Macaca fascicularis: one gene and its partners. The protein of the gene in region 1 purifies or fractionates together with the protein of each later gene. This does not show direct contact. Links are inferred from orthologs where the notes say so. Each region holds a gene or a part of one and is shown in the gene's direction. Other genes may lie near its edges.

The links.
Region 2: the proteins of FKBP5 (region 1) and CDK9 purify together in Homo sapiens (affinity purification with mass spectrometry; 10 studies listed by BioGRID and IntAct, counting the BioPlex papers as one, with this or other methods). This does not show direct contact. The link is inferred for Macaca fascicularis from reciprocal best matches to the Homo sapiens genes FKBP5 and CDK9.
Region 3: the proteins of FKBP5 (region 1) and PTGES3 purify together in Homo sapiens (affinity purification with mass spectrometry; 4 studies listed by BioGRID and IntAct, with this or other methods). This does not show direct contact. The link is inferred for Macaca fascicularis from reciprocal best matches to the Homo sapiens genes FKBP5 and PTGES3.
Region 4: the proteins of FKBP5 (region 1) and CHUK purify together in Homo sapiens (co-immunoprecipitation; 4 studies listed by BioGRID and IntAct, with this or other methods). This does not show direct contact. The link is inferred for Macaca fascicularis from reciprocal best matches to the Homo sapiens genes FKBP5 and CHUK.
Region 5: the proteins of FKBP5 (region 1) and CLK3 purify together in Homo sapiens (affinity purification with mass spectrometry; 3 studies listed by BioGRID and IntAct, counting the BioPlex papers as one, with this or other methods). This does not show direct contact. The link is inferred for Macaca fascicularis from reciprocal best matches to the Homo sapiens genes FKBP5 and CLK3.
Region 6: the proteins of FKBP5 (region 1) and protein argonaute-1 purify together in Homo sapiens (affinity purification with mass spectrometry; 6 studies listed by BioGRID and IntAct, with this or other methods). This does not show direct contact. The link is inferred for Macaca fascicularis from reciprocal best matches to the Homo sapiens genes FKBP5 and AGO1.
Region 7: the proteins of FKBP5 (region 1) and IKBKB purify together in Homo sapiens (affinity purification with mass spectrometry; 3 studies listed by BioGRID and IntAct, with this or other methods). This does not show direct contact. The link is inferred for Macaca fascicularis from reciprocal best matches to the Homo sapiens genes FKBP5 and IKBKB.

The regions. Positions count from the first base shown.
Region 1 is NC_088378.1:136,068,801-136,072,553, forward strand, and holds part of FKBP5 (peptidyl-prolyl cis-trans isomerase FKBP5), read left to right. Parts: intron 1-438; coding exon 439-553; intron 554-3,753. UniProt on the Homo sapiens protein: Immunophilin protein with PPIase and co-chaperone activities. Component of unligated steroid receptors heterocomplexes through interaction with heat-shock protein 90 (HSP90).
Region 2 is NC_088389.1:16,210,946-16,215,155, reverse strand, and holds the start of CDK9 (cyclin-dependent kinase 9), read left to right. Parts: upstream 1-1,277; 5' UTR 1,278-1,392; coding exon 1,393-1,484; intron 1,485-1,945; coding exon 1,946-2,027; intron 2,028-2,764; coding exon 2,765-2,855; intron 2,856-3,193; coding exon 3,194-3,360; intron 3,361-3,460; coding exon 3,461-3,632; intron 3,633-3,790; coding exon 3,791-3,939; intron 3,940-4,210. UniProt on the Homo sapiens protein: Protein kinase involved in the regulation of transcription.
Region 3 is NC_088385.1:63,494,912-63,499,328, reverse strand, and holds the start of PTGES3 (prostaglandin E synthase 3), read left to right. Parts: upstream 1-1,604; 5' UTR 1,605-1,899; coding exon of another isoform or gene 1,900-1,901; intron 1,902-2,152; exon of another isoform or gene 2,153-2,208; intron 2,209-2,484; 5' UTR 2,485-2,658; coding exon 2,659-2,672; intron 2,673-4,417. UniProt on the Homo sapiens protein: Cytosolic prostaglandin synthase that catalyzes the oxidoreduction of prostaglandin endoperoxide H2 (PGH2) to prostaglandin E2 (PGE2).
Region 4 is NC_088383.1:109,176,135-109,180,579, reverse strand, and holds the start of CHUK (inhibitor of nuclear factor kappa-B kinase subunit alpha), read left to right. Parts: upstream 1-1,549; 5' UTR 1,550-1,613; coding exon 1,614-1,718; intron 1,719-2,817; exon of another isoform or gene 2,818-2,889; intron 2,890-4,445.
Region 5 is NC_088381.1:51,734,932-51,738,684, forward strand, and holds part of CLK3 (dual specificity protein kinase CLK3), read left to right. Parts: intron 1-1,047; coding exon 1,048-1,144; intron 1,145-1,421; coding exon 1,422-1,488; intron 1,489-3,753. UniProt on the Homo sapiens protein: Dual specificity kinase acting on both serine/threonine and tyrosine-containing substrates. Phosphorylates serine- and arginine-rich (SR) proteins of the spliceosomal complex.
Region 6 is NC_088375.1:199,056,856-199,061,158, reverse strand, and holds the start of protein argonaute-1, read left to right. Parts: upstream 1-1,362; 5' UTR 1,363-1,590; coding exon 1,591-1,615; intron 1,616-4,303.
Region 7 is NC_088382.1:45,840,492-45,843,891, forward strand, and holds part of IKBKB (inhibitor of nuclear factor kappa-B kinase subunit beta), read left to right. Parts: intron 1-223; coding exon 224-351; intron 352-2,738; coding exon 2,739-2,829; intron 2,830-3,400.

The DNA.
Region 1 (3,753 bases):
CTAGGTAAAATATACCTTTAATCAGTCACAGGCCACATTCATGAAATTTATGTTTACATTTTGAGAAGGGAACTCCATAAATCCAGGGTGGGAAAGTTGTGGCCTCAGACAAACTGTTCTACACCAGCACCTTGTAAAGCTCTGGGTTTTTGCCCACAGGGTAGTGTTCCTAGTATTTCCTGTCTTTGCACCGCAGTCCCTTAGGATATAGTCCTAGACATTATCATTATGTGAAATTCTTTCCAAGTATGGAAAAGTATAGTGGGTTTTTTGTTTTTTTTTTTGCTACTTTTCCAATAATTAAGATGCATAAATGAATGTATACATTTTGAAACAGCTTTATTTTGTAAAATGAAATAATTGGTTGCCCTTGCCTTCACATATGTTAAATTGGCTTTATTTGGTCTTTTCTCATCTGAATTCCTTTTTTCTTTCTAGATTGAGCTCCTTGATTTCAAAGGAGAGGACTTATTTGAAGATGGAGGCATTATCCGGAGAACCAAACGGAAAGGAGAGGGATATTCAAATCCAAACGAAGGAGCAACAGTAGAAAGTAAGTATTAAAGTAAGAGGGAACTAGTCCTTAAAAGTTGGACCATTTATGTGGACGAAATGGAGACTTAAAAAAAATATGTTTATGGAAATGAACATATCGGCTGGGCGTGGTGACTCACGCCTTTAATCCCAGCACTTTGGGAGGTGGAGGCGGGCGGATTGCCTGAGCTCAGGAGTTTGAGACCAGCCTGGCCAGCATGGCGAAACCCCATCTCTACTAAAAATACAAAAAACTAGCCAGACGTGGTGGTGCATGCCTGTAATCCCAGCTCCTTGGGAGACTGATGCACAAGAATCACTTGAACCGGGGAGGTGGGGGTTGCAGTGAGCCAAGATGGTGCTACTGCACTCCAGCCTGGGTGACAGAGCGAGACTCTGCCTCAGAAAAAAAAAAAAGTATTGAATATATCTCAAAGATAGTCTTAGCCGGGCACAGTGGCTCACGCCTGTAATTCCAGCACTTTGGGAGGCTAAGGCAGGAGGATCTCTTGAGCTTAGGAATGCGGCAGCAGCCAGGGCAACATAGTGAGGCCCCATCTCTACTAAAAAGCATCAAGAGAATTAGTCAAGTGTGGTGACACGTCCCTGTAGTCCCAGCTACTTGGGAGGCTGAGGTGGAAGAATCACTTGAGCTCTGGAGATCAACGCTACAGCAGAGAGCCGTGATTGTGCCATTGGCTCCGGCCTGGACAACAGCAAGATTCTGTGGGAAAAAAAAAAAAAAAAAAAGTCCGGGCGTGGTGGCTCGCGCCTGTAATCCCAGCACTTTGGGAGGCCAAGGCGGGCGGATCACGAGGTCAGGAGGTCAAGACTAGCCTGCCTAACACTGGGAAAGCCGTCTCTACTAAAAGTACAAAATATTAACCAGGCATGGTGGAGGGTGCCTATAGTCCCAGCTACCCGGGAGGCTGAGGCAGGAGAATGGCGTGAACCTGGGAGGCAGAGCTTGCAGTGAGCCGAGATGGCGCCACTGCACTCCAGCCTGGGAGACAGCGAGACTCTGTCTCAAAAAAAAAAAAAAAGAATAGTTTCAGATTCAACATTTATTTAATAATTTTATTTAGTAAACATTAATTCAACATGTGTGCCAGGCATGCTACCAGCCTCTACAAACTCAAAAATGAATACAAAGTAATTCCATCCACAAGAAATTCTCAATCTATGGACTCTTTGGTGTGCCAGCAACTATATTTGTTGCCTGATATATTTGTTCGTTTATTTCTCACAGCCTTAAGAGGTAAAATTTCCTGTCCCCAGATAAGAAAAGTTAATTCAGAGATCTTAAATAAATTGCCCAGGGTTACAGAGTTACTAAACAGAGCAGTAGATTATAATCCTCTTTAGGACTCAAATCCATCTCATCAGCTGTCATCAAGATAAAAAATAGTTCATCATTTAGATCAATATTGGATAATAATGTTCATTCTATTCCCTATCAGTAGACCTAGGTTCAAGTCCTGCTTTGGTGTTTATTGAGTAACCTGAAGCTTTTCCGTTTCTTCATTTGCTAAGTGGGAGAAGGGGCATCTCTGAGGACTGAGATAGCTAACTCTTCTTCCCTCCCAGAGCAAATTATATATACCACTGTGTATACTACTTGTCACTTTACATTGTAATCAGTATTTGCCCATTTATCCCAATATACTATGAGTGCTTGAGGACCAGAATCTTTCTTCATCCTTTTGTTTTCAGCATTACCTGCAGTGCCTGACACACATTTGGTGTTCAGTAAAGGCTTTCTTCATAGATAAATGCTTGAGAAGTGTCATTAGTGAGCTGAAATCCTTCAAAAGAGAGTTGTGAGAAAACAGAGAAATACTTCCATTAAGAACAAAAATCAAATCATTCAACAAGGATGGGAACATGAACTATTATAAAAGTTCTGTTTAAAATAAAGATTTCAAAAAGCTAGGTGTAATGGTGTACACCTGTTGTCCCAGCTACTTGGGAGGCTGAGATGGGAGGATCACTAGAGGCCAGGAGTTCGAGGCTATAGCATGCTATGATTACACCGGTGAATAGCCAGTGCACTCTAGCCTAGGCACCATAGTGAGACCTTGACTTTAAAAAAAAAAAAAAGTAAAATAGAGTTCATTTAAACAGAAAACAAGAATAGCTGAGTTTCTTATATTTAAAGTATATACTATTTTCGGCCCATATTTCACTTCTACGAGTTTGGAAAGTCAGTTAAAATTCTGTTGTTTTGGGAAGCAGTTACAAATATTACTTATCCCAAATTGTCATTTAAGATAAGTTTTAGAATACATGAAGAGCTTTAAATGTAGAATATCAGGGAAGTAGCTCCAGACTAGGAGTTGGGAGATAGGGTTCCAGCCTCAGCCCTGGTCTCAGGCTGGCTCCAACTAGACCTCACCTCTGGGCATTAGCATCCTTCCTATGCAGTGAGGCAAGGTGGAACCGCTTAATTTTTAAGGTCCTACTAGCCCTAAAACTCCATCATAGAATTCTAAACATTTACAAAAGTTGTAGGAGTGATAGAAAATCATCTTCACTATATTAGTAAGCACTTAAGCTTGTCTATAATGTGTATTTTAAATTTTTATTATGAAAAATTTCAAATGTATATACAAAGGTAGAGGTTTACTCCTATGGATATAGGAACTCCCTAGATTCAGTAATTTATATTTTTTAACTGGAGGGTTTTGTCAACTAAGAGGGAAAACTTTTCCCAATTATGGACAATACCACAACATTACTACTGTGGAGACAACTTTAGAGCAGACTAAATTAAATCAAATCTTGCTTTTGGTAATCCTTGTGATGGGAGTCAATTTTTTTTAACTTTTTGTTTTGAAATAATTTTAGAATTACAGAAAAGTTGCGCAACTAGTATACAGTGTTCCCTTATATGCCTCACACAGCTTCCTCTAAATGTTAACATCTTACCTAATCACAGTACATTTATCAAAATCAGGAAGTTAACATTGATGTAGTACCAGTAACTGTTTTCCAGATCTTATTTGAATTTCACCAGTTACTACACTACTGTCGTTTTCTGGTCTAAGATCAAACTCAAGATCCAGCATTGTATTTACTTTTTTTTTTTTTTTTTTTTTTTTAGATGGAGTCTTGCTCTCTCACCTAGGCTGGAGTGCAGTGACGTAATCTCAGCTCACTGCAACCTCCACCTCCTGGGTTCAAGCAATTCTCCTGTCTCAGCCTCCCAAGTAGCTGGAA
Region 2 (4,210 bases), on another chromosome or scaffold:
AACCACGGATAGCCTGAGTCAAGAGAATCCCCTTCACAGTCAGACACCCAGCTTTGTCGCCGTGTGACCTTGGGCAAATGACCTCACCTCTGAGCCTCAATGTCCTCTTCTGCAAAATGGGTTAGTGATCCTGACTATGGGGCTGTTGATTCAGGATTCGGCGGGAACGCCCAGCACTTCCTGAGCACACAAAGAGTGCTGAGAAAATGGTAGCTGTTTTTTGCGATTATTGACCCGGGGCCTGATCAGCTCTGGCGCGACTCGGCGAAGGCGCGAGTCCTGCGGGTCCCATCCCTGCCTCCTGGAGAGCCAGGCTCCAGCGATAGAAGGCCCGGGCGTTGCTTGCTCGTCGCCTCCAGTGCCGCCGCGCCCCCTGGCGGCCGTCGGTTGCCATGTCAACGGAGGGTGGCGGGGACCGGGGGAGGCGGAGGCGGGGGCCGTTTTCTCCTCCCAGGGCCGGAGGACGCTCCCTCCGCGCCTCCCGCCTTCGCCTCTTGGGGGGGCACTCCGAGCCGGGGAGGAAGGGGCTCTCCGCGGCAGCCGGCATGTGGGGGTAAACTGAGGCACGCGGCTGGGCGCCCGCAGCCAGGTGCCGAGCGCGGGGCCCCACCTCCGAAGGCGGAGGAGGGGCCGCGGGCGGTGACGCGCCGAGGGCGGCCGGCGGACAGCGAGCGGGCGGGCGGGCGGGCGGTGGCGGCGGCGGCAGGTGCGGCCGCGGAGGGTGGGAGGGAGGAGGGCGGGGGCGGGCGGAGGAGGAGGGGAAGGCGAGGCCGGGCACCTCCCCCTTTATAACGCGCCCCCTCCCGGGCTCTCGGGCCGTCTCCTAGTCGGCTCTTCCCGTCTCGCCCCCTCGCCCGGCCGCCCCGGGCCCGGGCCCGGCCAGGGAGCCCCCAGGCCGCGGCTCGGGGGCTGCCCCCCCGCCCGCCGCCCCGCGCAGCCCGGCGGAGGCGGCGCCGTCGGAGGAGGAGGAGCAGGGCACTGCGGCTGGCCCCGGATCGGGCGCCAGAGCGGCAGCAGCTTCGGCAGCAGCGGCGGCCCGGGCCCATGCAGCGGGACGCGCCACCCCGAGCCCCAGCTCCGGCGCCCCGGCTCCCCGCGCCCCCGATCGGGGCCGCCGCCAGTAGTGGCGGCGGCGGAGGCGGGGGCAGCGGCGGCGGCGGAGGCGCCTCTGCAGCTCCGGCTCCCCCTGGCCTCTCGGGAACTACAAGTCCCAGGGGGCCTGGCGGCGGGCGGCGGGCGGAAGAGGCGGGGTCGGCGCCGCGAGGCCGGAAGTGGCCGTGGAGGCGGAAGTGGCGCGGCCGCGGAGGGGCCTGGAGCGCGGCGGCGGCGGGACCCGGAGCGGGAGCGGCAGCAGCAGCGGCTGGGGGCGGCGGCGGCGCGTTGGAGGCGGCCATGGCAAAGCAGTACGACTCGGTGGAGTGCCCCTTTTGTGATGAAGTTTCCAAATACGAGAAGCTCGCCAAGATCGGCCAAGGCACCTTCGGGTAAGGCTGGGCCCCTCGGGGCCGGGAGCCGTGGGCCTGCACCCCTAGGGCGGACGTCGGGATGCCCCGGGCCCCGCCCGAGTTGGTAGAGAAACCGTCTGTCCCCGGGCTTGCCCACTGGTCTTTAGGCCGCGCCGCACCCCGCCCCGGCCTGAAGGAGCCGGCTGGTGGGGAGGAGCCTGAGGCCGGTGGTGGGGGCGGGGAGGGGCTGCAGAGAGGCGCCCGTGAGGGGAACGGGATCTCTCCAAGAGACGCCCAAGTGAGGAGAAGGGACTGAGAGAAGGAAGCAGAAGCTCCGAACGAGACAGGGTGCCGGGTGGCGGGGTAGCCGCGTGCCCTGGGTACTTACCCCAGCCCCGCCCGGGAATCTTTTTGCTGCTGCCCCTCCTCCGGTAGTGGGGGAGGGGCGGGCCCTGCGGAAATCGCCTGATGAGCTCTCGGGTCTCCCTTTCCGCCTGCAGGGAGGTGTTTAAGGCCAGGCACCGCAAGACCGGCCAGAAGGTGGCTCTGAAGAAGGTGCTGATGGAAAACGAGAAGGAGGGGGTGAGTACGGATCGGGCGTGCGGGCCAGCCGTCTAACTGCCCAGGACCCCGGGTCGGTTTTCCACCCTGCTGCTTCTAGGAGTCTCAGGTTGAGATTTAATTTTTTTCGTAGTAGTTCAGAAATTTCCAGGGAATTTGGCCTCCACCCTAAAACTAAATGCTTCATTCTTAGGCAGTTATGGGTGAGACCGGGAGGGGGAGTTGATGCATGCATCGTGTGCACTTTAGTTCACGAAGTTAGGAAGCCTTTAAACACCTTTTTTTAGTGTTAAATTTTGCTTAATGTTAAAGAAAGATACATATGCATGCAAATTTTTGAAAAGTGACTAATACTCAGTTATTTAATGTGTTTAAAAGGAGCGGTCCCTCCACCCCATCTTAGCTCAAGTACAACGTCCCATAAACCTTCCTTTTCCTGATGTGCTTTAGCGAGGACATTTTTGAATCGTCATGTTTGTTGCCAACGAAACAGCCATAGAGCTGAAGTTTGAAGGCTGAAACCGCCGAGCATTTAGTGGCTAATAGCAAAGTATTGCTGTTTCAGTTTGTTGTCTCAAATTATCTCCTTGAAGTGTGCATGCTCCTACTATATCCATTTTACAGGCAGAGCTTCTGAGACAGCTGGTTTCAGAGCCCATGATCTTGCTCTGTCTCCCAACTTGCCTCTCAATATAGACCCCAGGGCTGGGCTCTGTACTGCGCTCACTCTTGACCACTTTCCCCTCTCTCCCACCCAGTTCCCCATTACCGCCTTGCGGGAGATCAAGATCCTTCAACTTCTAAAACATGAGAATGTGGTCAACTTGATTGAGATTTGTCGAACCAAAGGTAAGTTGTTTGGATCTTATGAGGAGATGACACTTGTAGCCTAAGGTTTTGTTCGTAAAGTTGGAACTAGACCCACCTAAACTGCCTCCTCTTAACTCAGATGGACCCATGGTGACTGCTTTCTCTGGTCCTCTTTCATCGTAGCTGGTGCTTCCTCGGGGTCTGCCCTGGCCCAGAAGAGGCACTCAGAAAATATTTGACCAGTGAAGGAAGGAACAGACAGATGCTCTGGAGGGCTTGGGTGCCCATGGGTTGGAGCAGGAAGAAAGAAACTGGTTGTGGGAAAGTGTGTTGGGTGTGGCTTTCTTGACTTTTTCTTCCTTGTATTCCTGCCTCAGCTTCACCCTATAACCGCTGCAAGGGCAGTATATACCTGGTGTTCGACTTCTGCGAGCATGACCTTGCTGGGCTGTTGAGCAATGTTTTGGTCAAGTTCACGCTGTCTGAGATCAAGAGGGTGATGCAGATGCTCCTTAACGGCCTCTACTATATCCACAGGAACAAGGTGGGGGCGAGAGCTGGGAGGAGGACCCAGGCTTGGGCTGGCCTTGGCTCCCACTCCCGGGTGGATATCACTGAAGGAGCCACTCTTGCCCTTCTTGCAGATCCTGCATAGGGACATGAAGGCTGCTAACGTGCTTATCACTCGTGACGGGGTCCTGAAGCTGGCAGACTTTGGGCTGGCCCGGGCCTTCAGCCTGGCTAAGAACAGCCAGCCCAACCGCTACACCAACCGTGTGGTGACACTCTGGTACCGGCCCCCGGAGCTGTTGCTCGGTGAGGACTCCCGAGCGGGCCGAGGGGGGTGAGGGCCAGGCATCTACCTGGCCCCCGCCCCCCCACTGCCAGGGCTTCTTGAGCTGCCGGCCCTGGGGCATTGAGTCTCAGGAGGCCTCCGGGCTCAAGGGGCCCTCCTGGTGCGCTCTTCTTCCCAGGGGAGCGGGACTACGGCCCCCCCATTGACCTGTGGGGTGCTGGGTGCATCATGGCAGAGATGTGGACCCGCAGCCCCATCATGCAGGGCAACACGGAGCAGCACCAACTCGCCCTCATCAGTCAGCTCTGCGGCTCCATCACCCCTGAGGTACGGGGTCCCGGTCCCCCGGCAGAGGAGTGGGGAGTGGAATGGAGGGAGCGCTCCTCTCTGGAAGGGAGGCTGGTTTGGTGACAGGGCCTGCCCTTGAGAGCCACACAGGCTATGCGCCAGTCTTGGTTCCATCAGCCATTCTGTGGCCTTGGGCAGAACAACTGAGTCAGCGCTGGGTTTCTCTTCTGTGAACCAGAAATGGGACGTATATCAGGGTTGGGCCTGGCATGTGGTATGTGCCAATCTGTGGCGGGCACTGCTTCTCTTG
Region 3 (4,417 bases), on another chromosome or scaffold:
CCATTCTCCTGCCTCAGCCTCCCGAGTAGCTGGGACTACAGGCGCCCGCCACCTCGCCCGGCTAATTTTTTGTATTTTTAGTAGACGGGGTTTCACTGTGTTAGCCAGGATGGTCTCGATTTCCTGACCTCGTGATCCGCCCATCTCGGCCTCCCAAAGTGCTGGGATTACAGGCTTGAGCCACCGCGCCCGGCCCTAATTTTTGTATTTTTAGTAGAGATGGGGTTTCACCACGTTGGCCAGTCTGGTCTCAAACTCCTGACCTCGTGATCCGCCTGCCTCGGCCTCCCAAGGTGCTGGGATTACAGGCGTGAGCCACCGCGCCAGGCCAACTTCCCTTTTTTTTTTTTTTTTGATACAGGGTCTCACTCTGTCGCCCAGGTTAGAGTGCTCCCTGCAACGTCCACCTCCTGGGTTCGAGCTATCCTCCCGCCTCATACTCCCTAGTATTTGGCATTACAGGCGCGTGCCACCACGCCCTGCTAATTAGTAATTTCAGTAGAGATGGGGTTTCACCATGTTGGGCAGGTGAAACTCCTGACCTCAGGTGATCCGCCCACCTCAAGCTTCCCAAAGTACTGGGATTACAGGCGTGAGCTATGGGCGCCCGGTCCAAAATGGCATTTGAGCTAGGGTCCAGTTTTCGTAGCTCCCACTACCTGTCGTGCACAACATAGACACTAAATACCTTATTGCTTATTATGAAGCCCCGTTCTTCAGAAACGTTTTATAGCACTTTCGTTAAACCTCCTTCCTGTTCATAATGCAGTGCACTAGAGTATTTTTCCCATACTCCACCGTTAAGTGGCCTCTTGGTAAGCAGGACTGTTTTGGGTCTCTTGGTTACTATCCCCTAATACACCCTATTAGTGTGTTGCACGAAGCGACGGGGAACCCGTTCTCCCCCAAATGATGTGCGTGGAGACACCCAATGTCCTAGCCTCTCCATTCCCAGAAACCTAAGACTCTCCCACCAAATATCCTTCCTGTCTCATCTACAGCACTGAGGTCTCAAGGTAGGGGCAAAAGCCCGCCCCAAATGGCAAATGCTCCTCCTCCGCCAAGAACCTCCAATTTCCGCTGTCCCTAGACAGAGCCTCCAACCTTCAGAAAAATGGCGAGGTAGACCCAGGCCCTTGATTCTGAAGTGAGCCCTTTTCCACAGCACAGCCTTTCACAGGTTTTTGTGGTGGAATGATTCCTCAGTGAACTGATTTACTCCCTCAAGAGTAACCAACGCTCCATTTTAGTTCTATAGGATCCCGACTCCGTGTCCCTCCGCCTCGGCCTTGCCTCCCACTGCCAACGCAGCCGTTTCTCAGAGAAATCGCCCAAGGCGCATGGCCGGGCAGTTGGGACACCAACGGTTTTCTAACGCGAGAGGACAGCGAGGGAGGAGAGGCGGGAACGCGTAGCGACTAGCAGGGGGCGGGGTGGGGGTGGGGTGGCGGACGAAGGGCGGGGCCGACGCCAGGAAGGATCGCGAAGGAGCTGGGAAGCCCCGCCCTTTCCGTAGATATCTCTAGAAAGCCGCGCCGGACCCCGAAAACAAGGACTGCGCACGCGCGGCGGTAAGGCCCGGGCATTTTGCTGCGTCACCAGCCGCCGCCCGGCCTCACCACCCCTCGTTTGCACGCACGCACGTTCATTCTCCGTCCTCGCGCCCGTTTTCCTACACTTTCCTCTTCTCCCCGACCGGAGGAGCCGCTCTTTCCGCGCGGTGCATTCTGGGGACCGAGGTCGAGCCCGCCGCTGCCGCCGTCGCCTGAGGGAAGCGAGAAGAGGCCGCGACCGGGGAGAAAACGCGGAGTCGCCACTGGAGAGAAGTCGACTCCCTAGCAGCAGCCACCGCCAGAGAGGCCCGCCCACCCGTTCGCCCGTCCCCCTGCCCCGTTCACAATGTGAGTGCGACACCCCGCCGAGGGAAGGTCGCCCAGAGTGAGGCCGAGGCCGCGTTGGGGGCTCCCTGGAAGCGGCCCTTGCCCTCCCTCTGCTTTTGGCCCCATAGCCTTTCTCGCATCGGTGGTGGCAGTCGTTCCTGCCTGGGGGCGGGAGGTCCAGGATCCTTGTTCCGGTTACCGTTGGCGGGTGGAGGACATTTTTCCTCCAGATGTCTGCTTCCCCCACCCCTGAAACGTCCCTTGGCTTCCCTATACCGGAAATCCTACTTTTTCCCTCTTTGGCTGTCTGGGCTACTGGCTTCCTTAGGTAACTTCACCTTAGGCCTTAAGCTCCCCGGAGCTGCTCGCCATGCGGCGCCGTGAAGCGTGAACCCTCGTGGGTCGCCTCGGCTGCTTGGGCGCTCCGGTTCTGCTGCTTTGTGGTCCCCGGGCCAGGCCCTGAGTCGAGTGCACCTGTGGTGGGTGCTGCCAGGTGCCTGGCGGAGCTCCTGGGAGAGCCCCACGCGGGCCTAGCCGTGAGCGGCAGGTACTGCTAGGCAACTAGAGTGAAGCCATGCCCACGCCGCAACATACTTCTCTCCAGTGTCTGGGTTTCTTGAGTGTGGGTTCTTGAAGTCCGCCTCGTAACTCCAGTCTCTTGAAAACACGGGAGGTTGCCAAAACTCAGCCGCTTCCCTGGCAGCGAGGAGGAGTTACCGTTGAGCAGGTAGTTCTGCACGTGTCTGCTTTGGAAAGACACGGACATTTTCTGTGTTCCATGTTAAACCTGAGGTGAGGTTTCACTATCCTGTAACTGTGGGATGAAATATGTATGTAATAGGCGTGTAATTAACCTACTGTTGTCCTAAAGAGTTTAAATTTGTGTTGAGATTCTATGGTAGTCTTCATTTTATGATGATAAAGGAAACCTCGGCGATTTTAACCGAGTAAGAATTCTTGGCACTGCCACGTACAGTGGGAACTGCCGGTTTTACAGGGTTTTGTTTTAGTTTTTGGTTTTTTTTTGACGGGAGGTTATTTTTTAAGGTACTAACTGCGTCCTAAAAGGTATGGAGAGCAATTAAGGGGGAACCTTTTTTTAAAAAATATTCCATTCAGAAGAGAGATGAGAGGGAGTGACTTTGTGGAAAAGTAAGAAGGGTTTGCTTGATTCAAAGTCATGATACTGACGGCTAGAAATCTAAAGGAATGAGTGAGGGATACACTGAAGCGAAGTTTATCACTGGAAACAAGCTTCTAGAGCACAGCATGTTAGAATTTTTGAGGGAGCCCCCTCCCCGAGAGTGATACGTAATCGGGGTTTTTAAAAGTTTGAATCAGACTGGGCGCGGTGGCTCACACCTGTAATCCCAGCACTTTAAGAGGCCGAGGTGGGCGGATCACCTGAGGTCGGGAGTTCGAGACCAGCCTGACCAACATGGAGAAACCCCGTCGCTACAAAAATACAAAAAATTAGCCGGGCGTGGTGGCACATGCCTGTAATCCCAGCTACTCGGGAGGCTGAGGTAGGAGAATCGTTTGAAACAGGGAGGCAGAGGTTGCGGTGAGCCGAGATCTTGCCATTGCACTCCAGCCTGGACAACAAGAGTAAAACTCCGTCTCAAAAAAAAAAAGTATATAAAATAGCTTTTGTTTTTCCCTTTGAAATCTCTCATAAGTAATGTAGAAGGGACATCAGTCTTAACCTTTCATACTCTGAAAATCTGTAAGGGAAAATTTTTGTCAGATAAGGCATTAAGCAGCTTTTAATAATAGAGCCAAACAACATATCTTTTCGTGAAAAATGTTTAAAATGGGCTCGAAGTAGAAGCACTTTCTGGAGGGCACATGAGATATCTAAATAGGTAAGGAACGGCTAAGTTAGGAAAGTAAATTTAAAAACTTGGGTGAAAAGTGTAAGGCCAGGCGCGGTGGCTCACGCCTGTAATCCCAATACTTGGGAGGCTGAGGCAGGTGGATCACGAGGTCAGGAGTTAGAGACCAGCTTGGCCAATATGGTGAAACCCCGTTTCTACTAAAAATACAAAAACTAGCCGGGCGTGGTGGTGCACTCCTGTAGTCCCAGCTATTCGGGAGGCTGAGGCAGGAGAATCGCTTGAACCCAGGAGTCGAAGGTTTTAGTGAGCCGAGATTGCGCCACTGTACTCCAGCCTGGGCAATAGAGGGAGACTCCGTCTCAAAAAAAGTAAGTGTAGCAGTAGAGAGACAATTCCAAAAAGCAGCCTCTCTAGTTAAAAAAAAAAAAAAAAAATGGTACCTTCATGCCGGGCGCGGGGGCTCACGCCTGTAATCCCAGCACTTTGGGAGGCCAATGCGGGCGGATCACGAGGTCGTGAGATCAAGACCATCCTGGCTAACACGGTGAAACCCCGTCTTTACTAAAAATACAAAAAATTAGTCAGGCGTGGTCGCAGGCGCCTGTGGTCCCAGTTGCTGGAAGCCTGAGGCAGGAGAATGGCGTGAACCCGAGAGGTGGAGCTTGCAGGGAGGATCGCGCCTCTGCACTCCAGCCTGGG
Region 4 (4,445 bases), on another chromosome or scaffold:
AAAAAGTTAACAAAGGGAACCAACCTGGTTTCCACAAAGATGGCCACTTCCGGGTCAGCCCAATCATCAGTATCCCTGGGTCCTCAGTATCCCTTCCTCTTTTGAGTGGGAATTATGAGATTACAGCCCCACCTATGGAAATTGAGCACACTAGCACTGGCCATGCTGTACATACGTCAAATGAGAGGGCTTCATACTGTTATAACAATCTGTACCACAATTCTCTGTGCGGTCTGCCCAGCTCTAAATGACATGTCCTCAGAGGCGCCATCATCTCCAAGTCCATGGAAACCACGCACTTATAGAAACCAGAACCTCCCATACCACATGTTACTAATGACCTACAACATCGACTTGGTCTGTATCATGCAGTGCTCAACATTCTGGTTGCAGCATCACATTTCTCAAGAATTTGATTCCATGCTGACTCCTTTACTTGGAGTATTGAGATTCCCCAGGTACAGTGAAAGTATGAGCCTCTCAAATGGAAGACCAGAAGCTGGTTCTCCTATGCTATGTCAATCCGCCACCCGGAAGCACTTGCTGCACCAACAGCATTCCCAAAGCTTGCCTCTGCAGCCCTGCAGCACCCATTAGAAACACTTCTCACAATGAACTGCTGTGCTGGCAGAGCCCTAACTGGACTGCTGGACAGCAAGCTCTGTGAGGCATCTAGGAAAAAAGTTCCCAAAATCCCGAGAAACATTCTTCACTCCGGAATAGCGTCACATCATTGAGTCATTTGGGATGACGGGGCATATCATGGAGCAGGTGTATTGGGAAGTCAGTGAACAGTAAGGCTAATTCATTAGTGGGCCTGCTGGCGTAGTATTTTTCCAGTTCCGCAGCCTTTAAATCATTGGTGGTCTTTAGCGTGCCGGATCAGCGGGTGGTGGAGTTGGAGGATAGATGGCAGGGATCTGAAGAAAGGTGAAGTGTAGACGAGTGGAGACAATGTGAAGTTTAGAAAAGACTAATTGCCGGGCGTGGTGGCTCACGTCTATAATCCCAGAACTTTGGGTTGCCGAGGTGGGAGGACTGCTTGAGGCCAGGAGTTCGGGACCAGCCTGGGCAACGTAGCAAGACCATGTCTCTACAAAAAACAAAAAAACCAAGCGAGGTGGTGCGCGCCTGCAATCCCAACTACTCGGGAGGTGGGAAGATCGCTCAATTCCGGGAGGTCGAGGCAGCAGTGAGCCGTGATCATGCCACTGCACTCCAGCCTGGGCAACGGAGCAAGACCCCATCTTAATTAAAAAAATATATTTAATACAGGAGAGACTGGACTGCTTTGAAAAGTGGATTTGATGGGAATGCGAGGTTTGGAGAGATCTTATGTTTTCCAAGACTTGAAAAACATTGTGGTTCCGTTCAGCCCTCCCAGAAAATACCTAGGGGACCTAAAGAGCGGACCGAGTACCTGTTCGTTTCCCCACCCCTTAGCCGGCAGGGCTCCGGCGGCGCCCTGGGAAAACGTAGGGAAGGGCCGTTCTCGCAGCGGTTACCGGAAGTGACGCATTCATTCTCGCGAGAAGGAAGACGCGCGAGCGTCGGCGGCCCGGAACCGGCCTTGGAACAGCGGCGGAGCCTGAGGCCGCTTGCCCTCCCGCCCCATGGAGCGGCCCCCGGGGCTGCGGCCGGGCGCGGGCGGGCCCTGGGAGATGCGGGAGCGGTTGGGCACCGGCGGCTTCGGGAACGTCTGTCTGTACCAGCATCGGGTGAGGCGGGGCGCGAGAGGGAGCGGCGGTGGGTTTGAGCGTCTGTGGAACACAGGGCTGACAGTGTGGGATAGATGGTTAGTGGGACCTTGGGCAGTATTTGTGGGCCAGTAGGCTTGTGTGTGTGTATGAGAGAGAAAGATACTCTGCCTGTGTGTGTCCAAAGTTGTATCTGAGGTACTGGGCATAGATAGAGCTGTTGCGGGGAACTTGGGTATGACTGTCAGGCTGTGACCAGGTGTTTAGTGAGTGTGACAGTGCGCGTGTGTCTCTGTGAATGTAGAGTGTCAGGGTGTGTGAGGCAGATGCACGTCACAGTGTGTATGTGTGAGCACGAATGTGTGAGAAGAGGGTTGAAGGAGACTGCCTGTTGGAATGTGTGCGTCCGTGTGTTTGGGTCCGTGTGTGCGCGCGCTTGCTTGGAGGCCGTGTGATATCAGTGGGGACTGCAGTAGACAAGGAAGGCTTCATGATGGGTCCAGAGTTAAACCTTTGGAAGTATGGATGGGCTTTGGAATTGGGGATGTATTCCAGGTCGGGACAGTATGAGGGTAAGTTGGTGCAGATCATGGCTTCAAACGGAAGGCGATATTAATAGATTGGAGATGGGGGGCGCTCCAGTCAGTGGAGGACAGTTAACATCAGACTCAAGAATTTTACTTTGATTTAATAGAGAATGTTTAACCATTGTAACAGCAGTTTAAAAAATAATATTTGGGTCATGTTTGTGTGTTTGTTAGTTTTTGTTTTCGAGACGGAGTCTCACTCTGTTGCCCAGGCTGGAATGTAGTGGCGCGATCTCGGCTCACTGTAGCCTCCTCCTGGGTTCAAGCGATTCTCCTGCCTCAGCCTCCTGAGTAGCTGGGATTACAGGCGCCCGCCACCGCGCTGGGCTAATTTTTTGTATTTTTAGTAGAGACAGGGTTTCACCATGTTGGCCAGGCTGGTCTCGAACTCCTGACCTCAGGTGATCCACCTGTCTCAGCCTCCCAAAGTGCAGGGATTATAGGCGTGAGCCACTGCGTCAGGCCTGGGACATGTATTTTTTGTTATAAAAAATGATAATCAATAAAAGCTGTGAACCCTTTCCCCAGAAAAATGCACAGATGCACATCCACGCAACCATGCATTGCCATTTGAGAGGTTCATGCTTTCCTAAAGGACATTTTAGGTAAATAGACCCCGGACTAACACTTCCTGTAATACAGGCTTTGTTTTGTTCCCTATAAAATAGGTATAGTATAATACTTGCATGCATCATGGGTTTGAGAGTTAAATAAAATAATAATGTATGTAAAGCTAAATACAGTACCTGACCCATGAAAGCCCTCAACTGTTAGCACCTGCTGCTACTTTGTTGTTGCTGCTATGATCATAATGCTCCTCATTAATTGGCCTTAAACAAGGAAATGTCAAGATTAAAAGTGTTGTTCTAGGAAAATGGTTTTGTGAAGGATAAATTTGAGTGGAACAACATGTGGGACAAGATGAACAGTTAAGATTTTACTAAAATGCCTGGGCTTGGATTGTGAATAGAGAAATGAATTCAAGAGGAAAAGTAATAATTTGTTATCTAAAGGAACATGGGTGTAGTGAGAAAGCTCATAATTTGGGGTGGGAGAAAGGGGAGATAGGTGTCTACTTTGGAGAAATAGGCATGTTTAGGGTAATTAGAATGACAACTGAAACTGATAGAACTGAGGAAGTTTTGTGAACCAGGTTTCTAGATAGGGTGTGGGAGAAAATCTTGGAGAAAGAGAATGGAAGGTGAAGGACTAAGGCATTAAATCCTATGATAGCAGGATAAGTAGTAAATTTAATAATTCTCACCATCAGAGGGAATATAACACACTAAAAAAATAAGTGGGAGCCAAGTGCTTCCAGTGGCATGTTGCCTGTGTTACCTAAGCCTGCCTATAGACTGATCATAAGGAAAAAGGATGCATGCTGGCAGCTTTTGTGACTTCTTTTTTTGGTCCCTGGGTGGGGATGGATGAATTCATCACTTTTTGTTTTATTATGGTAAAGTATACATAACACAACATTTATCACTTTATTTTTAAGTGTACAGTTAGGTAGCATTAAGTATATTGACGTTGTACAGCCGTCACCCTATCCCCAGAATATTCCAGCTTTTTAAGCACATAACTTTGTTGTTGTTGTACATCTATAAACTGCCCATAGAACATTCTTTGCGAAAAGGTAGAATTTCACAGAGTGGATGAAATATAAATTAAGGAGTTGAAGGATCTTACAAAGTGGGATTTTTGAAATAGATAACTTACTGCTCCATCAACATGAGCATTTAGGACTCAGTGCTGTTCATAGCTGTGCCTGATTCTCATCTCCATGGTGGTAAAGGTCTGCATGGGACATAGATATAACTGGCCACCTGCTCATAACAAAAGGAAGACTGAAGGGAGTGAGACCTGTGGGTAGGCTAGCTTGTAGTCTGTCCTATTTTCCTTCTTCTCTATGCACCAAGTATCATCTTATCTCTAGCCTTTTTTTCCTCTCAGCCCCCAATTCACACTACCCTATCCAAGCTGTGTCTTCCTTCCCCACCTATAATATATTTTTTTCTGTCCTGGCCCCTCTCTTTATTCATACACAGCCTTTATTACAACTCTGGTTTGTGTCAGAGATTACGTATGTTGGAAATTCTTTTGAACTCTCTTTGTGATATCAGAAACATAGTGTAGCCTGTTTTGCCCTGGCTGCTGTTTC
Region 5 (3,753 bases), on another chromosome or scaffold:
CTGCCGGCCTTGAGGCCCCTGAGGAGCGGTGGAGAGGCCAGGCGTCTTCTCTGCCCAGCTCTTTCTGTGACTTCTTTGAGTGGCCACAGGTTGAGGGTTGACTGTGCAGGCGATTGCAGCATGGCCCTTTGGCCTCTTTGCACACTGCCACATGCTGCCACAGGATGGCAGTGCAGGTCTGGCTCTGCTTCTCTGTTTGGTGCCCTCTTATCGATCGTCGTGAGGCTTGGGATGGGCCTAGATTGTGAGCAGCACAGGTGCCAAGGCCAGGGCAGGAGCTGGCATGGGGCCTGTGTGGGCCATTGTGGTAGGAAGCCTTGCAGTTGACTGGCCCAGAGGATCCAAGGCTGCTTTCCTGCTTGAGGCTGGTGGCAGGAGGGCTGCTGACGGAAGGCTGTTTCTGGTAGTGATGGTGAAGTCTGGCCAAGGATGCCGTCTGGAGGCAGGTAGCAGCTTGGCTCTGAGTGGCAGCTGTCAGGCATGTGCAAGTCTGCGTGGGCGAACAGAGGCAGGCAAGGACAGGCTGGGCATTCTGCAGCTGAAGCCGGAGCAGCCGCTGACCAGTCTGGATGGTTGGACCCAGGCGGGGCCAGCTGCCTTCTTGCGCCACCGTTCTCACTGCATCTTCCGCTCTGGCCAAAGCCACATGGGAGGGCCTGGGAGGGAGAGACTCGGAGGAGGAGGAGGAGGGAGTCGGGGCGATGGCTCTCCTCACAGCGTGGCCCTCAGCAGCAGAGGCAGGTCGTCTTCCTGAGCGTTTGTGGCGCTCCTCTTAGAGATAATGTCCGAGTTTTCTTTACATACCTGTAGCTGTTTTTACTTTTCTGTTTTTGAAGTCAGTTTGTGTCTTGACGTGTCCCTTGCAATATCCCTATCGTTATATATGCTGTGTGCCTTATGAAATGCTGGGATCTGGAAAATCCAACCAACCAACCCACCGGCTCCTCACCGTCTCCACCTCTGCCTTTGACTGACACCTCAATCTGTCAATCGGAACCGCCTACCATGCGATTGGTCGGATGGCGTTTCGGGGGGCGGTGCATGCAGAGAAGCCAACAGAGCAGTAAGCGCAGCAGCCGGAGTGTGGAAGATGACAAGGAGGGTCACCTGGTGTGCCGGATCGGCGATTGGCTCCAAGAGCGATGTACAGCCACCTTTCGTAAAACTTTACCTCTCTACTTTCTACCCCCCTTGTTAGACGAGACCTCTCCTGCCTGGAGGGGCCTCTAGTGCGCGTGGTGCCTTAGCGGGGCCACCAGTAATTGCCTGAATGACACAGACACTAGCAACTTCCATTTTAAAGGGTGTAGCAGTGAGAGAGAAACCTTTTTTGTTTTTGAGAATTTGAATGCTGTGAACTTGCAGGAGCTGCCAACTCCCTGTCCTCTAGATTCTCATGCCCAATTTCTTTTCTCTCCTAGATGAGATTGTGGGGAACCTGGGTGAAGGCACCTTTGGCAAGGTGGTGGAGTGCTTGGACCATGCCAGGTGAGCGAGCTGGGGCAGTACAGCTGGCTCTGGATGTGATCTTCCTGGGAAGAGCTGGCCTGAGTTCTTGAGGGTGGCAGCTATCAGAGCTTAACTTTTTTCTTTTTGAAGGGTGGCATCAAAGTAGGGTTCTGACCTGTCCATGTTGGGGTTTTGCTGATCCCCTGTAATAAGGGAGAAATTCTTGGGTCCTGCAGGTATGTGGCAACACTGCCCAAGAATTGTTGCTCAGTGAAAGGTTCTGTTCTAATCTCTCTACTTCTCCAGGACTGTAGTGGTGGATATCAGAACAAGGCCAAGGCCCCAGCTCCCCTATGGCTTGGAGCTGCCTCTATAGCTCCCCTATGGCTTGGAGCTGTGATAACTTTTAGGTTCTTGGCCTGGCAAGGGGCTAGGAGTACCACCAAGCCCAGCCCTAAGGGCATAAGTCCCATCCCCTGAGGGTCTGCCTTTGAGGCTGTGCAGATCTTAGTCGAGAGAAACATGACCCTGGGCTTTCTCACCAAGCAGGCCGCTGCCTTCTTCAGTGTGGCTAGGGTAGTGTGCGGTCTCTGCTGAGTGTGCCCAGGAGAGTGGGGTATACCTATGTGTGTCATGCTGCACGTCACTCTCTCCCAAGCCCAACAGTGCAGTAGTTTTGTTCCTTCACCATTCCACAAGACTAGAACATTTGCTTCCTCTCATATAGGTCTGGGTTGGGGAGGCCACCTCCAGGGAGTCAGTTGCCTCCCTGCTGTAGGCGCTCTAGTTGGTTTGGCACTTCAGCTACAAAGTGCTCGTGTCCTCATTGGAGCCGCGTGCCACCCGTATGTGGCCCTCGCTGTTGCAAAGATGAATAAACATACTCAGGGTTTGCCTGCATCATACTCCAGTTAACGGCAGAGTTGGCCACCACTGCACTGTAGTGCTCCTACATTAAATGGGGTACTCAGGTCATTCAGACCCAGGCATCCAGCCTTCCCTGTGCCCACAAGGTAGACTGAGAGGAAGTTTCCATTTGCTCCAAGTTTCCATGCAAATGCCTGTATGACTCAGTGCGGCCCAAGAGGTTAGGGTTGGGACCAGTGGGTGGAGGGACATGCACAACTATACCATGGCCAGGTGGAGACATGGCAGACTCAAGTAGGCGGTCTGGGCTGCTCCTCTCTGAGGAGCTGGAGGGAAAATGAGCCTCTGGAGTTACTAGGGAGCAGGTGGAGGGTCCGGGGAACCTTTACTTTCACTCAAAGGACTCAAAGGGAGCCAGGGCCAGTGGGGGTTGTCATGCGGAGGCAGAATTCAGCTCAGTGAAAGGCAGGGTCTTATTGTAAGAGCCATGCAACTCTGGCAGGGCTGCCTTGGAAGTGATGAGCTCCCTGTGCTGAGGACTGGGATGCCACGGAGGGACCCTGTTTCAGGAGGAGGCCGGAGTGCATGACCTTTCCCCTGAGAATCTGGGAAAATAGGATAGGGAAAGAAAAGCAGGGGATTCTCTAGAAGATCCCTTTACCCTGGGCCTGTGAGCCTTAGGCACCACCGTCAGCCTCCCTGAGGCCTCAGACATGCCCTTCCAGGCTAGGGCTGTCTCACTCAAGTTCCCCACTGGACATCTGAATTCTAGCGGTCCTTTCCTGACAGGGCCTGGCAGCCAGACCTCGGCAGGTTTCCTTCTCTGCTGGCTCCCTGCAGATGGCCTCCTGGGGTGGGGTTGGGGGTGGGAAGCACAGAGCAGGGACTGTTAAAATCTTCTCTGGACACTTAAGAAGGGTTCCTGGCATTTTGTGGTCACTGATAAACGCTGTGGCAGGTAGGTGCGGCGGTAAAAGGAGTGGCCCTGGACCCCACAGTGAGAGGTACCCTTGCTGGTACCCCTACCTCTTGCCAGATCTTTACTCGATCCTGGCACCCCCATCCCTGTTGGCTCAGACTTGCAGATAAGCTCAGGAAGGTCAAGAGGTGCTGCAGGAGGGCTCTGGGTGGGATAGCCTGGCCAGGGTTGGGGCTGCCTGGCCTATAGGTTAGGTCACTATGTGAGCTCTTGGGCTGGCGCTGGGTAAGCAGGATTGGCCTCTACTCTCCCACACTCCTTTGGGAGCTGGCAGTGGCCGAGAACATAAAAGCCTAAGGCTGGCATGGATGCCAAGAGCATTAACTCACAGATGTCAGGGAGCTTGCTGTTGGGTGGGCAAAGGTCTGGTGTTGCATGGGGCAGGCTGGGCATCCAGTATCTGCTTTCTTCAGTGCAGGCTGCTCCTGGAGCAGTGTTTGTTGGGAGTTGCTGGATTG
Region 6 (4,303 bases), on another chromosome or scaffold:
CACTGCACCAGACTGAATAGGAGGGAGAATGGGAGTTCCCAGAAACTTTGATACTAGCAAGGAAGTGGTTGTGATACTTCTGGCAAGATATGATAAGGGTCTGCACCAGCATAAGAAACCATCAGAATGGCATCGACTCATGTGAGAGCAGTTCAGAAAGGTAAACATGTCCAGACGTGGTGAACAGCTGAATAGAGGGAAAGAACAAGGGATAGAGGAACTGTCATTTCTGACATGAAGGTGCTATTCGTTGAGATAGGAAGCACAGGGCGAGTATGTTTGTGAGTAAAAGATAAAGTATTTGGTTGGACTTCTTAAAATTGAAGTTCTGGTAGGATATCTAGGTGGAGCTGTCCAGCAGACACGTGGAAATGTGAGTCTGAGACATGGTTGGAAATAGAGATTTGGAGGGATAGTTGGGCCGTAAGAGTGGATGAGACCTTCAAGGGGAGAGTGGAATGAGAAGAGAGCTGGGTTTGGAACCACAGTGAACAATTAACGAGGCAAAAACAAAAGGGGCCCTTTAAAAGACTGAAAAGGACTTAGGCAATAGGAGACTGCAGAAGATGCCACAGCCAAGTGGAAGGCTCAGAAGGGAAGTAGAGGCACAGTGACAGACGCTGCAGAGAAATAATTGAAAAGTATCGTTTGGATTTCAACCCCGAAAGTCATTTAAGTGACGTGGTGAGGGCAGAAGCAGATTGACAAGAGTTCAGGCATGAGCTGTAGATGAGAAAGTGGAGGCAGGTACTTCCCAGGTCCGGTGGACAGAGCTCTGTAGCTGTACTTAAGTTAAAACTGTGACATCTTCCAGGGTAGGCAGGGTCTCTACTTATCTGTGGTCTCAGCGTCCAGCCCACGGCCTGGAAGAGGGGGTGGCGTCAATGAGTTCAGTGACTAGGGACGGAGAAAGACTTCGCGGAGGCAGTCGCTTTGCAGCCAAGGCTTGAAGGATGAGGGTGATTGGGAGGAGAGGTGGGAGGCGAGGTGGGAGGCAGGGCCCCTGGGCGCTGGAGTGCCGGGGGTCTGGGAATGAGGTGGGGTTCCCATAATGTGCGCGCGGCTCGGTGCGACAGGCGGGGGCTGTGTGTAGGTTTGGAGGGACCTATTTGGGGAAAAGACAGGGCGGAAGGCAGCTGTGGCGGGGTGTCCCTTCGCCCTGCCCCACTTATGCCACTGCGCGGTTCCAAGGCACCTTTATCGGAGCCCTCCCGCCGGGCTGCATGGCAACGGGTGACCGCCAGGGGCCGCTGTCTCGGGTCCCCGGTGCCCCCGCCCCTCTCCATTGGCCTTTGTTGCCGTCTGAGCGCCCCGCTTGACTCGTTCCGGTCCGCCCCCTGGGCCTGGCGGTCGCGCCTGCGCACTGGCAGCTGGCCGGGCGCTCGCAGGGGGAGCTGCTGCAGGCTCCGCGGCGGCGGCGGCGGCGGCGGCGGCAACGGAGGCTGCGGGGGCGGCGGCGCGAGCGGCCGGGCTTGGTAGGGGAGCCGAGCCCGGCCCGGGAACCCGAGCAGCGAGAGTGCGGGGTACCTAGGCCCCTCACGCTGGACTTCACAGTCTCCGGGCCGCCTGACCTCCGCACGGGTATATGGGATGGAAGCGGGACCCTCGGGAGCAGGTAAGGGCCCCCGGGAGGGGGAACGGTGCATGCTCCAAGGACTGGGGACTCCCGCATGAAAAGCGTGGTTTCCAAGTGAGGGAAGCGCTCCTGAGTGAGGAGAAGGGCTCTCCCACGATGGGGGCCCAGTTTGAAGGAGGCTGTGTGCAGTTCCGGGGGAGAACCATGTGAAGAGAGCCCTGAGATGGGGGCTGTTTGTCCAAGGAGGCTGTATGCAGTCCTGCGGGTTGGAAGTAATCTGGGAGAAGGGCCTGCACGCACGGAAGGACTCCCAGACGTCCGTGGAGGCCTACGGAGAGGCCCGGCAGGTGGCAGGGGACGGGCTCCAGGTGTCCAGGAGAGGAGGGGGCCACACAGATGGGCCTGGAGCTACCGCATGCCGGGGGCGGGGGCTCCGCTGGGCTGGAATAAGCTAATGTCTCTTGGGAGAAGGCGCCAGAACTGGACTGTGAGCTCCGCCCCACCGGGCCTGACGCGAGGGCGAGGGTCAGGGGGCGGTGGGTGGGGACCCAGTCCCGGGATTCCCCCCCGTGGGTCTGGGGAGTCGGAGTGGAGGCTCCGGAGCATGCGCGGAGGTGGCAGCTGGCAGGGGCTGCCCGACGTGGTGGGGGCGTGGCCGTCCAAATACCCCCACCTCTCTTCGCCGCCCCCCACCCTCGTTTGGCTTGGAAAAAGGAGCGTGCTGATGGGGTGCATTCGCTCTTAGGTTATGCTGGCAGAGTGCAAATGGTTATGGTCCCCGCCCCCATTTTAGGGGCTCTTACACTTGGCCCTCAGTAACAGTTTGCCAAGAATGGGTTGAGGGAAGCTGCCAAAGTGCATTTTTCTGCCACAGGAAAGACTGGGACCGAAGCAATGGGTTCTGGGGGTGGGTCCTCCTAAAGATAGGCCTTAGGAAAGGTATTGGTTACGGATGAATAAAGGACAGGGCAGACAGGGGCTACCTGGAAGGAGTTGTCTGCTTGGTTTGCAAGTTTCTGCTCCAATACTGAGTAGAGATGGGGGCTTTTAATCCACACACAAGATAATGACCTTTTCCATTGAATTGTCTGTTAAGGTTACACTCTACAGTTATAACATTTATTCTGATATTTCTTAATATTTTCATGGCTCCTATCTTCCACTGGATATCTTTCCGTTTTCCTCTCCCTGCTTCCCAGAAACTGTCAGGGCTGTCTTTAGAGCCAAGATCTAAACCCTACAAACAAGTTGGAGGATGGGGGAGTTTATAGCCTTCACCCTGGTGAGGCGCAGGTGATAGCCTTAACTTCTTATTTGCAGGTAACGAGGAGAAAAAGACATAGGAACAGAGGATAAACTGAGGCAGGATTGCCTCAAGAAAACTGGAGTCCTCAGGATGGGCTGTGGGGTGGTGATACCTCTTGTGTCTTAAGTGTCTTACCCTGTGATGGGACGAGGAGCCTGGACCTGGGAATCCTTCAGGTCATCTCTCACCACTTCCTTACATTTGGTCTGGGAATGGGAATCAAATTTCCATTTGGGACATGAACTTTATTACTTTCCTAATGGAAATTATTTTGTTTTTTTTTTGTAGCAGACCTAACTCCCTCCCACTCTCTCAAGGAAATAGCTCCTACCACCTCACTCAAGTTATCCATTTAGTGATCTATAAGTACTTAGTGACTGTTTTCCCCCTAATAACCAACCTTGTATAGGTTGTGTAGTCCCAAGGATAAGCGCAGGGAGCAACTGACTTTTGTACTTCCTCTCTGTCAGGCCCCTCTCTCCATCTCAGGCACTCCTGTTTTTCAAGGCTGGGGACTATTTCCAACAACCCATGAACTAGAGTAGTGGGGTAGGTCATTGAAGTCCACATGGATTGCTGGTTGCTGGTACCCATTCTAGACTAATGATTTTTATCCCGATGAATTCCTAATAGGCTCTGGAGTGATGAAAAATTGACTTTTTAAAAATTTGTTACAAAAAATAAGCTTCTAGGAAAGAGCTAGAACCTGCTGTTTGGAGTTACCCATAGCCTTAGGAAAAGCCTAGTGGGACAGGCTTTGCCTCAGAAAAGGGTATAATTGAGATTCAGTCTGGAAGCTGCAGATTGAGGGACCCCATAACTGCCTCCTTCCTAGGCCCGGACTGTTCTCTTGTAGGAAGTTAGAGTGGTGTCCCAAGGTGGCCTGAGGACATAATACACGACACTAAAGTGTTGTGTAAAAAACGAACAAACAAATAAACAAAAAGCCCAAAAAACTAAAGCATTGTTGCTAGCCTCACTGGGCTTATGCCCAGGTCTGCCTTCTGTGCTCAGGTGTGTTCCAAGCACATACACTAGACTAGGTGCTCCCTGAAGGTAGAAGCAGTGTCTGGTTTATTTGTAGAACTAGCAAGTGCCTAGTGTATAGGCCCTGGCACAGAATACATGTTTATTAATTAAATCACATTCCAATGTGAACATAAATGGTTAAGCACGTATATGGATATTTAATAAAGTGTATATTCACATGGAACAGATCCTTTTTGGAGAGATTGGCCTGTTAGTCTTTGCTTGCCCACCAGCTAACCTAACCTAACCTAACCTAACCTAACCTTGAATTTGTGTCTTTTGAATATGCAGTCTGGCTCTTTGGGAGGTGTGTGGGCCTCAGAACTGCAGGAAAGGAGTCCTGAGCCAGGGCTTTCAGCTCTGTTACTTTTCCTTCTCTGGGCTCCTTGGGG
Region 7 (3,400 bases), on another chromosome or scaffold:
TAAATTTAGAATCCTTTCCTCAAAAGTCCCCCTGTTGATACAGAAACACTTTTGAAGCCAGATATGAAGCACCAGCTGCCCCCCAGGTAGGGGTGCCGACTGGTAGGCTGTAGGGTTAGCTCTGGCATCTGGCAGTCAGTTGTCTCCTGAGAAAATACTGTGGTGTGAATGCAAAATGTGATTCGTCACTTGGCTCCTAATTTCTTTTGATTTTGTCCCCTAGAGCAAGGTCCGTGGTCCTGTCAGTGGAAGCCCGGATAGCATGAATGCCTCTCGACTTAGCCAGCCTGGGCAGCTGATGTCTCAGCCCTCCACGGCCTCCAACAGCTTACCCGAACCAGCCAAGAAGAGGTAGGTCCCCGTTAGCAGCGCCAAGTGTGACTGTCGAGGGCACGTCAGGAGATTGGGGATGGAGGCGTTTGTCACTGGTAAATGTCTGTCCAATGATATCACTACCTCTCTGGATGTTTGTTGCATCTGCTAGGTCCTGTGGGGACAAAAGTGTTACATGTTTTGCTCTCCTAGTCCCTTGAAACTTACTAACTAGTTTCTTTGTCCAAGGCTTGGATGACTAACTGCTTAATGAGAACATTGGAAATGCTGGTTGGGCACATGCTGCTACCTTTTATCCATAGGAAGCCACATTCCCTTCAGGGAGGCCCACTTCATCTTTCATCTCCCCTGAGCCATCTGCCCCCACTCACCCTACCACTCCCTTGAGTTACCAAGTCACCACCCTCCTTCTGGTGCCACTGACCTTCCCGTTCTTCCCGTCCTCTGCCTCCTCTTGCCTGAACCATGGCGGCAGGGCTTTCTGCGTCCTGCCTCCTGCCTTTCTGCTGCCAAGCCCTGTGTGGTTGAATTAATCTTCACAAAATACCACTCTGACCAAGGTATTCCTTGGTCAGTCATGAATAACAGCTTCCCCCTCCGTTATAGATGCTCAGGTCTGAGCTTTCTTCAGGTCTCATCTGTGCCAGTAGCACAGTATCAAATTCTCAGGTCCTGCCGGAGACCTCACTTGGGAGCTCAGGGTTGGGGCCCAGCAGTCTGTGTCTAGCAGCCCTCCGCCCATTCTCCAGCACACTGCAGGCCACCTCTGTTCCCACGGTCGTCCCTTCCTGTGGTTTGTTTTGTTTGACACTTTCTGTGTGCAGGGCTCTATGGGTTTCTGCAGGAACTAATCTCTAGGCATGGGAAACACTGATGATTGCCTGGGGCAGGGGAGGAGGATGGGAGTGACTGATAATGCAAGGTTTCTTCTGAGGATGAAGAAAACATTCTGAAACTAGACATGGTGATGGTTGCACAACTCTGTAAATATGCGAAAACCCTTGAATTGTACACTTTAAATGGGTGAGCTTTATGGTATGTAAATTATATCTCAATACAGTCTGCTTTGAAGAATCTTGTTCTTGTCCTTGGGGACTTTGTAGCCTATTTTGATATTTATGTGACCTTGGATACTTAATTTTCTCTCGGCCGTATGGCACATTCTTGTAATCCTAGCACTTTGGGAGGCCGAGGCAGGAGGTTTGCAGGAGTTTGAGGCAAGCCTGGGCAACGTAGTGAGACTGCTTCTCTTTTTTTTTTTTGAGACGGAGTTTCGCTCTTGTTGCCCAGGCTGGAGTGCAATGGCGCAATCTCAGCTCACCTCAAACTCAGCCTCCTGGGTTCACGCGATTCTCCTGCCTCAGCCTCCCGAGTAGCTGGGATTACAGGCATGAGCCACCAGGCCTTGCTAAATTTGTGTTTTTATTAGAGACAGGGTTTCTCCAGCCTGTTGGTCTGGCTGGTCTTAAACTCCAGACCTCAGGTGATCCGTCCGCCTCAGTCTCCCAAAGTGCTGGGATTACAGGCGTGAGCCACCGCATCCGGCCCTTTTTTTTTGTTAAATAAAAAGTACTTCCCCAACCTCTCATGAGCTCCTGGAGTATAGTAGCTAGGCCAGGAGCCTCTTCCATTCCCTTCTGGGGCAGGCACTGAGCCTTTAGCCTAGCTAGAGGCCCTGTAGCTGAGGTTTGGCAAAAATGTACTCTGAGCTCCTGCCATCAGATTGTCACATTTTGCAGAGTGAGAGGAGTTCCGGGGCACTGTCTTCCCTTACGTGGCTTATTCCCTTCAATGATGTCCTCAAAGCTCTAGAAAGGTAGACCTGGGTATGTAGGATGTCTCTTGTCTCCCCACAGCATAGAGCTGAGGTTAGAAAAAGATGTTTTATTACATGCTGCGCTTTCTCAATGTGGCCCAATCCTCAGAGGAAACATGGGTTTCTTATTATAGAAAAGAGAGAGATCAGATTAGATGAAACCAAATCCCAGAACTGCTTTTCAACAGATTCCAAGGAACTATGGAACCCTGATAAATTGGTTGGCCCTTTTTTTTTTGTCTACTTCAGAAATTGGAAAACAGGTGATTTGGAGAATATCTTTAGATTTTGGCAGTTTGAGAATTAAATTCAGCTATCTAGTAAGTCAGAAAGCAGAAAGAGCTCTTTTTACTTCTGACTTTTTATGGAGATCTGTTTGCCTTTTTGGCAGTAATGCTCATGTGTGGAAAGTGCATAACAAGATGAAAGTATTAGTCAATGGGTTGGTGTTTTAAGACACTCAGGATCAAAATAATTGTTACTTCATTTAAAAAGTATTATCAAAACTCTTTAGCATATTTTAAAATAGCAGTGTTAGCTCTGATAACTAATAATGATCGCTTTCTAATAATTTGATCATTTTCTTTAGTGAAGAACTGGTGGCCGAAGCACATAACCTGTGCACCCTGCTAGAAAATGCCATACAGGACACCGTGAGGGAGCAAGACCAGAGTTTCACGGTAACAGCCTGTGTGAGCCCCCTGCGATTCCATGTCCTTTCATTCTATAGCAAAAGAGAAAAGAAAATGGAAACACAATCTGGCATTATCCCCAACCTCAGTGTTTGTTTGTTTGTTTATGACAGGGTCTTTCCCTGTCACCCAGGCTGGAGTGCGGTGGCATGATCTTGGCTCACTGCAACCTCTGCTTCCCGGGTTCAAGTGATTCTCATGCCTCAGCCTCCTGAGTAGCTGGGACTATAGGCGTGCGTCACCACACCCAGCTGATTTTTTCAGTGCATATTTATAATTTTCCATTACACATTTTTTATTATTCATAATAATAGTGATGACTAACAATTATTGAAGGCTTACAACTACATATATGCATTATCTTATTTAATCCTTGCAACACTTAATTCCTATGATGAGGAGGAAGGTAGCATTTTCCCCAGAAGCCTGTCCCCACCTGCACCATTGGTACTACTGCTGAGGATTTGTGTGTTGAGTGCTGGGCTGGGAGCGGGAACCAGCCATGGCCATGTCCTCAGGGCCTTGGAGCTTAGCAGTAGGTAGTACTAGTTATGAGACC